Ovis aries: one gene and its partner. The protein of the gene in region 1 purifies or fractionates together with the protein of each later gene. This does not show direct contact. Links are inferred from orthologs where the notes say so. Each region holds a gene or a part of one and is shown in the gene's direction. Other genes may lie near its edges.

Region 1 (3,675 bases):
TCTAGAAAATAAAAATAGCCTGATTAATGTCCAAGCAACGCACCTTCTAGCTCAACTCTGGCTTATTTAAGTTACAGTAGTGTAAACTGTGACTTCTATGTATCAAAAGCTGTGTGGGGTATTAAGGATAAAATAAAACCTCCTTCTTCCTCTCCCCAGAGTGGGATTCCCTCTGAGCACAGAAGGCGCTGGGGTAGGGCTGGTTATTTGCATGCGGTGGAGCTCTCGGCAAGGGGTGTGGGATGCGGTGTTCCCGAAGCGACAGATGAGGGATTTTGGCCGCGTGGGATGTGAACTGCGGAATTCCTCTCCTCCGTTCCTGAGAGGGGCTCTGAAAGATATAAGGTTAGGGACGCAGAGCGCGACCCTGGGGGCGGAGGGCGAGGGAGCGAGCCAAGGACACCAACCCTAGCACGCTTCCGGAAGCTCTCCGCGGACCGAGTTCATAGGTTCTTCGGCCTCGCCTTCCCGGTCACCCACCCCCAACCCGAGACCGATTCTGAAGGGCAGGCAGTTCCCTAGGGGCAGCGAGTGCAGCAAGCGCACCGTGAGCCCTCCACCCTCCTGGCTTCTACGTCTGCAGGTGGTTGAGCCGGGTAGGAATCGTGATCCTCAAGAGCCAAAAAGAGGCCGTGAGCTCGCGCTCCGCCGAAGAGACGGCCGCAGGCTGCAGTGCGCGGGCGCGGCGCGCTCAGGCCTCGATCCGGGTTCCTGGGGGCGGTGCGCGGGAGGGGGCGGGGCTTGCGCGGCCGCGTGGGCGCCAGTCGCGCGGGAGGGAGGGCTCCGGAGGGAGGGGGCGGGGCCGCGCCGCCCGCGCCGCGCTGGGCCCGCTTGGCCAATGAGCGGCGTCCACATGCCGCGGCGGCGGCGAGAGGGGAGGCAGCCGCGGATAAATGCTATTAGAGCAGCCGCCGCGGAGCCGTCCCCGACGCCACCTCCTTCTCCTCAGCCGCAGTTTCCTCAGCTACTGTCGGGGGTGCAGAGCTGAGGGGACTAGGCGAGCGCTCCGCGCACCATCCCGCCGGCTCGCCTCCCTCGCTCCGTTCCGCTCTCAAGGGTCGGCAGAGCACCCCCTCCTCCGGCCCGGGCGGGGCTGAGAATCACCACTGGAGAACGGGGAGGGGGCTTCGGGGCCGCGGCCTGCACTCCCGGCGGGCGGTTGAGGGTGAAGGAGGCCCTCCCTTCTGACGAGGGGAGGGAGGGTCAGGACCCCCCCCCCCCCGCCCACCGTCCAGCTGTGCCCGGGGCGGGCACCGGCGAGGGCCGGACAGCGAGAGGGGCGGTTGTCTGGGGGAGGGGGCGCGGGGTGATTCAGCGCCCAACGAGGCGGAAGCGGCCGGAGGAGGAGAAGGAGGGGGAGAGACCAGTCCGCGCCTGGGCGCCCGGGGTGGCACGAGCCCGCGGCCCGAGTGCTAGGCGGAGACGAAGAGGCCGCGGGGACTGGAGGCGAGGCCGGCCGGGCCCCCGCAGCCATGGAGAACGCGCACACAAAGACGGTGGAGGAAGTGCTGGGCCACTTCGGCGTCAACGAGAGCACCGGCCTGAGCCTGGAGCAGGTCAAGAAGCTCAAGGAGAGATGGGGCTCCAACGGTAGGTACCCGGCGCCGGGGCTGCAGGGGCCCCGCGAGGCTCGGCGCGGGCCCGAGAGCCAGGAAAGATGGCTGACCGGGCTCCACCTCGTGGGTCTCGGCTCCGCGCCCGCCGAGGGCTGCAAGCGACGGGTTGAGCCCGCGCGCTGGCCCCGCAGAAGAGGGGTTGCAGGCGGGGGGCACCGAGGTCGGGTCTGCGCCTCGTCTCGACATCCGCGTGGCTCCAGCCCTTGACCTTCTACCGCACGCAGCTAGCTCGGCGGCTCTTTACCAGCAGCAGCTGGCCCCGGCAGAGGGAGGGATGAGCCTCCTGCATCTGGGTTGAGCCCTGCGAGACATTTTCTCGTCCCTAGCCGGTTTATGAGGCGTCGCTGTAGTTGAGAATGCCTCTGACCATTCTACTACCCAAAGTTACACATCTGGCAGAAGTGATGACAGGGCTGAAATGACTCCTTGTTTCAGAAACCCTGCTTAGGTATTGATGAGATTTCACGTTTCAGAGTAGATCAGTACAGCAAGTATTGCATATTTTCTTGGGGTAGCATTTTGATATGGTTTCTATTAAATACTGTTGAATGTTCCTACATCTAGGTGCATCTTTCAAAGACAGTGATAATTTAGTAATTCTTTTTGGAAAGAGTGCTAAATTTTTTTTTCTTTTCCTTCTCTTGACACGTTGCCTGATGAATTTCTACAGAGTTACCGGCTGAAGAAGGTAAGTAATCTTAACATGTTTTTTCTGCCCCCTCGCCATGCTGATCTTAAGATGACATTTACAACAAATATGTTTCTTTCTAACAGGAAAAACCTTGCTGGAACTTGTGATTGAGCAGTTTGAAGACTTACTAGTTAGAATTTTATTGTTGGCAGCATGTATATCTTTTGTAAGTATAAAGAAATTTCTTTTCTTTCCCCAAAGTTGAGACTATACCTTAGATGAAAAAGCAGGAAATATCTAGCTATTGAGTGAGAACATTTTATTTGGAGATTTAAGCTGTGTTTTCTTGTTTTTGGTTTTGGGTTTTTGGTTGTTTTTTTTAAAAATACCCTAGGTATTTGAAAATTATAAATAGAACACGCCATTCCTGTACAGAAAATAAATGAATGCCTGACATTTGCAGTCCATTTAGAAATTGTTGCCAAATGTGGCAGGTAGGGTCTTTATAAATTCTTGTGGTTTATCAGTTTTTAATATCTAAAAGTTGCTTATTGGAAGGCTTTTTCTGTTTTGGGTTCTTCCGTTGTGTAAGATCATACTAAGATGATGATGGGCTCTTTGTAGTCTGTAAATAGAACTTACAAAAGGAATATTCCAGTTGCTCTCCCTTCCTGGTAATGGCAAGGTGACAGTTGTTTCTGACAGTGACAAGAATGATGACGGCAGTGATGGCACCACTGTTGACCAAATTTGGTCACTGACCTTTAGGGTAGTATATTTATCTAAATTGGACCCCCGTCTTGAGTGGCTCCTAGATTGAGAGAATAAGGTTTAGTACAATTGGTTCTAGATCTTAAAAGAAAAAAAAACATTGTTTTTTCATGTTCTGTGTGTGCTTACCGGCTTGAGTCCTGTATGGTTGCTAAGAAACTGGTGAAATGCAAACAGCAGAAGAAAGGTGATGGGCATTGAAAAGGATAATTCTAGATTCTTACAGTTTTTTTTTTCTGTTCAGCATTAACGTTTTATTGCATTTTTTTTCTCATGAGCAGTGGACCTCCAAGTTTTCCTAAAAATGGTCATGAATAGGACACAGATGTTCTTAATCCTAACAAGAGATGCCTTTTGTTCTTTAAAGTACAGTATTTTATTCTTATAAAAACCAGGATGAGAAATGTGCTAACTTTTTTCAGGCTTTGCAAACTTGACACAGCTACAGGGTTTCTTTTTTGTGTGTTTGCAAAAGATGCATGCAAGCCTCAGGGATCTACCTCAGTCTTTATTGACAACCTTACTCCAGAGGGCTATTTTGAGAACTAAATACATGAAGCAATGAGCATTTGTTTACTTTAGGTGAAGGAAAAAAATTGGCAAGAGGTGAGCTTTTTTGAAATTTCTCAAATTCTGCCATGAGACTGCCATATATTA
Region 2 (3,649 bases), on another chromosome or scaffold:
GTGTGTCTCTGTGCCCTTTCTGTATAATTTTACTGAGGAAAACATCACAAATTGAAAACTGAAATAAACCTGCAGCGTAGTACTGCGGACTGTATTTGAGCTTGGGTAACAAGGTGGCCTCAGGCTGCTGGGCCTAGAGCAATGACACTGCAGGAACCGCGGCGCCTGCTTACACAGCGCAGTGCAGTCGACTTTAGGCCGGAGCGAGGGAGCCGTTGGCGCTGGGCACTCGCTGCATCGGGGGCAAGGCCCTTCCCGATGGTTCACCAGACTTCCCATCCCTCCTTGCCAGCTGACATCTGACCTCCAACGAAGGGAACGGAGTGCCAGACTCCGAGGCCCGGGTCTAGGCACAGAAGGTGTGCGAACCACAGACACAGAGCGAGATGCAACTCTTGGAAGCGCGCCCACTAAGGAACCAGCGCAACCGCGCGCGGGAACTCCTGAAGGGCTGGTCCCGCCACAGGGCGCGCGCGCCCGGGAGTATTCCTTTCCGCCCCAGCCCGCCCCCTTCCGTACCGCCCAACCAACGGCCACTTCCTGCCTCACTCCCAGCCAATCCCCACGCTCCACGAAGAATAGCCCTAGGGGGCGTAAGGGAAAGTCCTCAGAGCGATGGTCGCACTGACCAATTGAATTCAGAAGCTGGCGCGGGGGCGCTGGCCTTGGCGCTAGCTGTAGCTACTCAGGAGCGAGGGGCGGGCGCAGGGCCGGGCTTCGTGCTCTGGGGCTAGCTCGCGCGGCGGCAGCGGGAGTCAAGGCCTCTTGGTGCTGCGGCACGTGACGGTCGTGCGGCTTCAGCTGCTGCGCTGCCTCGGCGGCTGTGTTCTCTGCGGCGCGGGGCCGGTTGTGCGGGTGGGAGCAGGCGAGGGCGCCACCGGCCGTCCCGCTGAGGCTCGAGGTGAGACGGGAGGCCTGCTTGTGTTCGGGCCTGCGAGGACTCTTGGGGGCCTGGATGCGCGGCGCCGCCACCGGGGGCCTGGAGAGCCGGGCGTGGCCGGGGCCGTGGGGTCCGGCTGGGTTTCGAAAGCTCAGGCCCAGTCTGGCGCTCCGGCCGTGTGGTGTGAGGCCGGGACCTGGGCCGCTTGAGTCAGGGAGCCAGGCCCAGGCCGCGCCACCGGGGTCGGGAGGCGTGGCAGGTGCCTTAGAACCTCCTTTGACCTCTGAGAAAGCTAACTTCTCCTTCTGGCTTTGCTTCTAGGGCTTTCTTAAGCCTATTGCTGGCTACCTGTGAAGCTGGGAAGTGCCCGGAGTAACTGGGTAAAGGTCTGGAATAGGATCGGGCCTAGTCGATGTCCCTTGTAGTGGGGAAGAGTTGATAGTGGGCCGAGAGAGAATATTTAGCATTAGAGGTTCAGTATTTGAAAGTTAAAATCACAGAGTGAAGAGTGGAGTATGGAGAATGTGCTAGAACACGCAGGGGCTGGAAAACTTAGGCCCTGACATTTAATTATATCTCTTCATGGATGAGGAGAAAGTAATCTCGTTTGTAAATTCACAAAGACTGGCAGGAAAGCACCCGAAAGCTCTCTGGGCAAGTCATTTTATAGTGGAGGAAACTTGAGGCCCAGAGCTCTGAAATGATTGGCTCAAGGTCATGGGCTTAATTTTATGATCACGTTGGAGTTTTAGTTGAGGCAGTTTTGATGGTTAAGGCTAAGGCCCTGGTTCAGGTCGTTAATCTGTCGTTTGTTGCTATATGAACTTAGGCAGTTTACTTCTCTGTACCCTACTTCTCTCCAAATAATGGATATAAAATCTGATGGTGGTGGGGTTAGAACTAAAGTGAAGTGAAGTCACTCAGTCGTGTCCGACTCTTTGCGACCCCGGGGACTGTAGCCTGCTCAGGCTCCTCTGTTCATGGGATTCTCCAGGCAAGAATACTGGAGTGAGTTGCCATTTCCTTCTCCAGGGGATCTTCCCAACCCAGGGATTGAACCTGAGTCTCCTGCATTGCAGGCAGACGCTTTATCCTCTGAGCCACTAAACTGTGTATAAAAAAGGACAGGAGAGACTTTGACTACTTGATAGATGATTTAAATAAATTAAGGCCTGAGTGATGTTGGTCCCCTACATCAACATCCTCCTTTTTGAGTTGGTTAAGTTCTGGGACCTGAAGTCACCTTAATGGATACAGGAGGAAGAAACTGGACTTAGTGGATTAACTGCTGGGTATGACACAAGTGAATGCTGGCTGGAGGAAGTTAAACTGAGCTGAATATTAAAAGCTTGGGGGGACAAAGGTGAGCCACAGTTAGGTTTCTTTACCTCTGAGTTAGGAAATGGAACACTTTGCTTAGTTTTTTAAATAAGAATTAGTGGGCGGGAGGATTTGTTTTGTTTCGGGTTTTTTTTAAAAGGGAGGAACTGTATTGATCTTTAAGATCATTCTGTATGTCAGTCTTTTAACAGCCATGTTTAAGTGCCATGAATAGAATCACTGCGGAGTTGTCCATTTGCTGTAGTAAGAGCAGAGGTAGAGAATTGTGTGGGAGTTCTGTGCAGCACCCCAAGCAAACAAGTCAGGGAACTGGATTATGAGATGGCCAGAATGAACGGTGTACTGGAGTAAATGTGCGGCGCAGCAAGCGCATTTCCTGACCTGTCTGATAATGAGTGTCAGTATCTCCCTACCTGACTATCTTAACTCAACAGTTTCAACTAGCACATTATCTTCCAAGGACCTTGAGGGGTAAACGTTTTGACAGAGGTTGTTGCTGCAGTTTTGGCAATCATGCTCTTGCATCCTTTCAGTTACAGAGTTCACTTTGCCCTGAGAGATAGCTTAAGGGGATGAAGTGAGAGTTGGTAAGCAGAAATGCAGGCTGGAGCCTGAATTCCAGGCCCAGCGAGGTAACTAGCATAATGAACAACATTAGTTTCCATATCTTTAAAACGCAGTGCCCAGGATACCTTACCATTAGGGATCTTTTAGGAGAGACAGATAAGATGGTGAACAGGAAACTGCTTTGAATGGAGTAATGAACTATGCAAGTAGAAGAATTGGCAGCTCATAACAACTCCTAGGAAATAATAACAGTGCCTGCACATAGTTACAACCTGTACAGCTCACTGTAGAACTTTGTCAGAGTGCTTTGTTAACTATAACAGTAGAACTTTGTCAGAAAAGTGCAGGCTGAGTGCTTTGTTAACTATAACAGATGATTTTTAAATTAAGCTTAACTGTGAAAATTATTTGGAGAATTTAATTTTTTTAAGTAACTTAGAATCTTCAGTAATGTTTTGGGAATCCACGTTTTAAATCCACTTAGTTTATACAAAAAAGGAAAGTGCTATGGGAAGATACATTTTAATGTTCCTGTCAATGAAAAGCAAAATTCAGAACTGAACTAGGCAGTGTACATCTATTTTTTTAGTGGATGAGCATTTACAGTAAGGACCCCTTTGAGTTTTCTGTACTTCCCTCCCACTATTAAGTGCTTTGATGTTGTGGCTAGATGTAATCCAGAGGAATGAAAAGTAGTAGTAAAATGGTTATCTGTGACTGGAGTCAAATTCTTTTGAAGTGGTTCCTTTTCAGTCTAAGACTTCGTTTCTTTTTTTTTTTTTTCCAAGTTTCTTATCGCTGTTAAAACTCAGCGTTTTAGGACCATCAAAGCTTAAATGGTGTCGCTGGGCAATATCTAGT

Evidence for each region. The genes of interacting proteins can lie anywhere in the genome.
Region 2: the proteins of ATP2A2 (region 1) and CANX purify together in Homo sapiens (co-immunoprecipitation; 3 studies listed by BioGRID and IntAct, with this or other methods). This does not show direct contact. The link is inferred for Ovis aries from reciprocal best matches to the Homo sapiens genes ATP2A2 and CANX.

Annotation. Positions count from the first base shown.
Region 1 is NC_056070.1:54,247,082-54,250,756, forward strand, and holds the start of ATP2A2 (sarcoplasmic/endoplasmic reticulum calcium ATPase 2), read left to right. Parts: upstream 1-847; 5' UTR 848-1,472; coding exon 1,473-1,590; intron 1,591-2,286; coding exon 2,287-2,304; intron 2,305-2,390; coding exon 2,391-2,473; exon of another isoform or gene 2,474-3,205; intron 3,206-3,675.
Region 2 is NC_056058.1:1,408,456-1,412,104, reverse strand, and holds the start of CANX (calnexin), read left to right. Parts: upstream 1-719; 5' UTR 720-901; intron 902-3,649. UniProt on the Homo sapiens protein: Calcium-binding protein that interacts with newly synthesized monoglucosylated glycoproteins in the endoplasmic reticulum. It may act in assisting protein assembly and/or in the retention within the ER of unassembled protein subunits.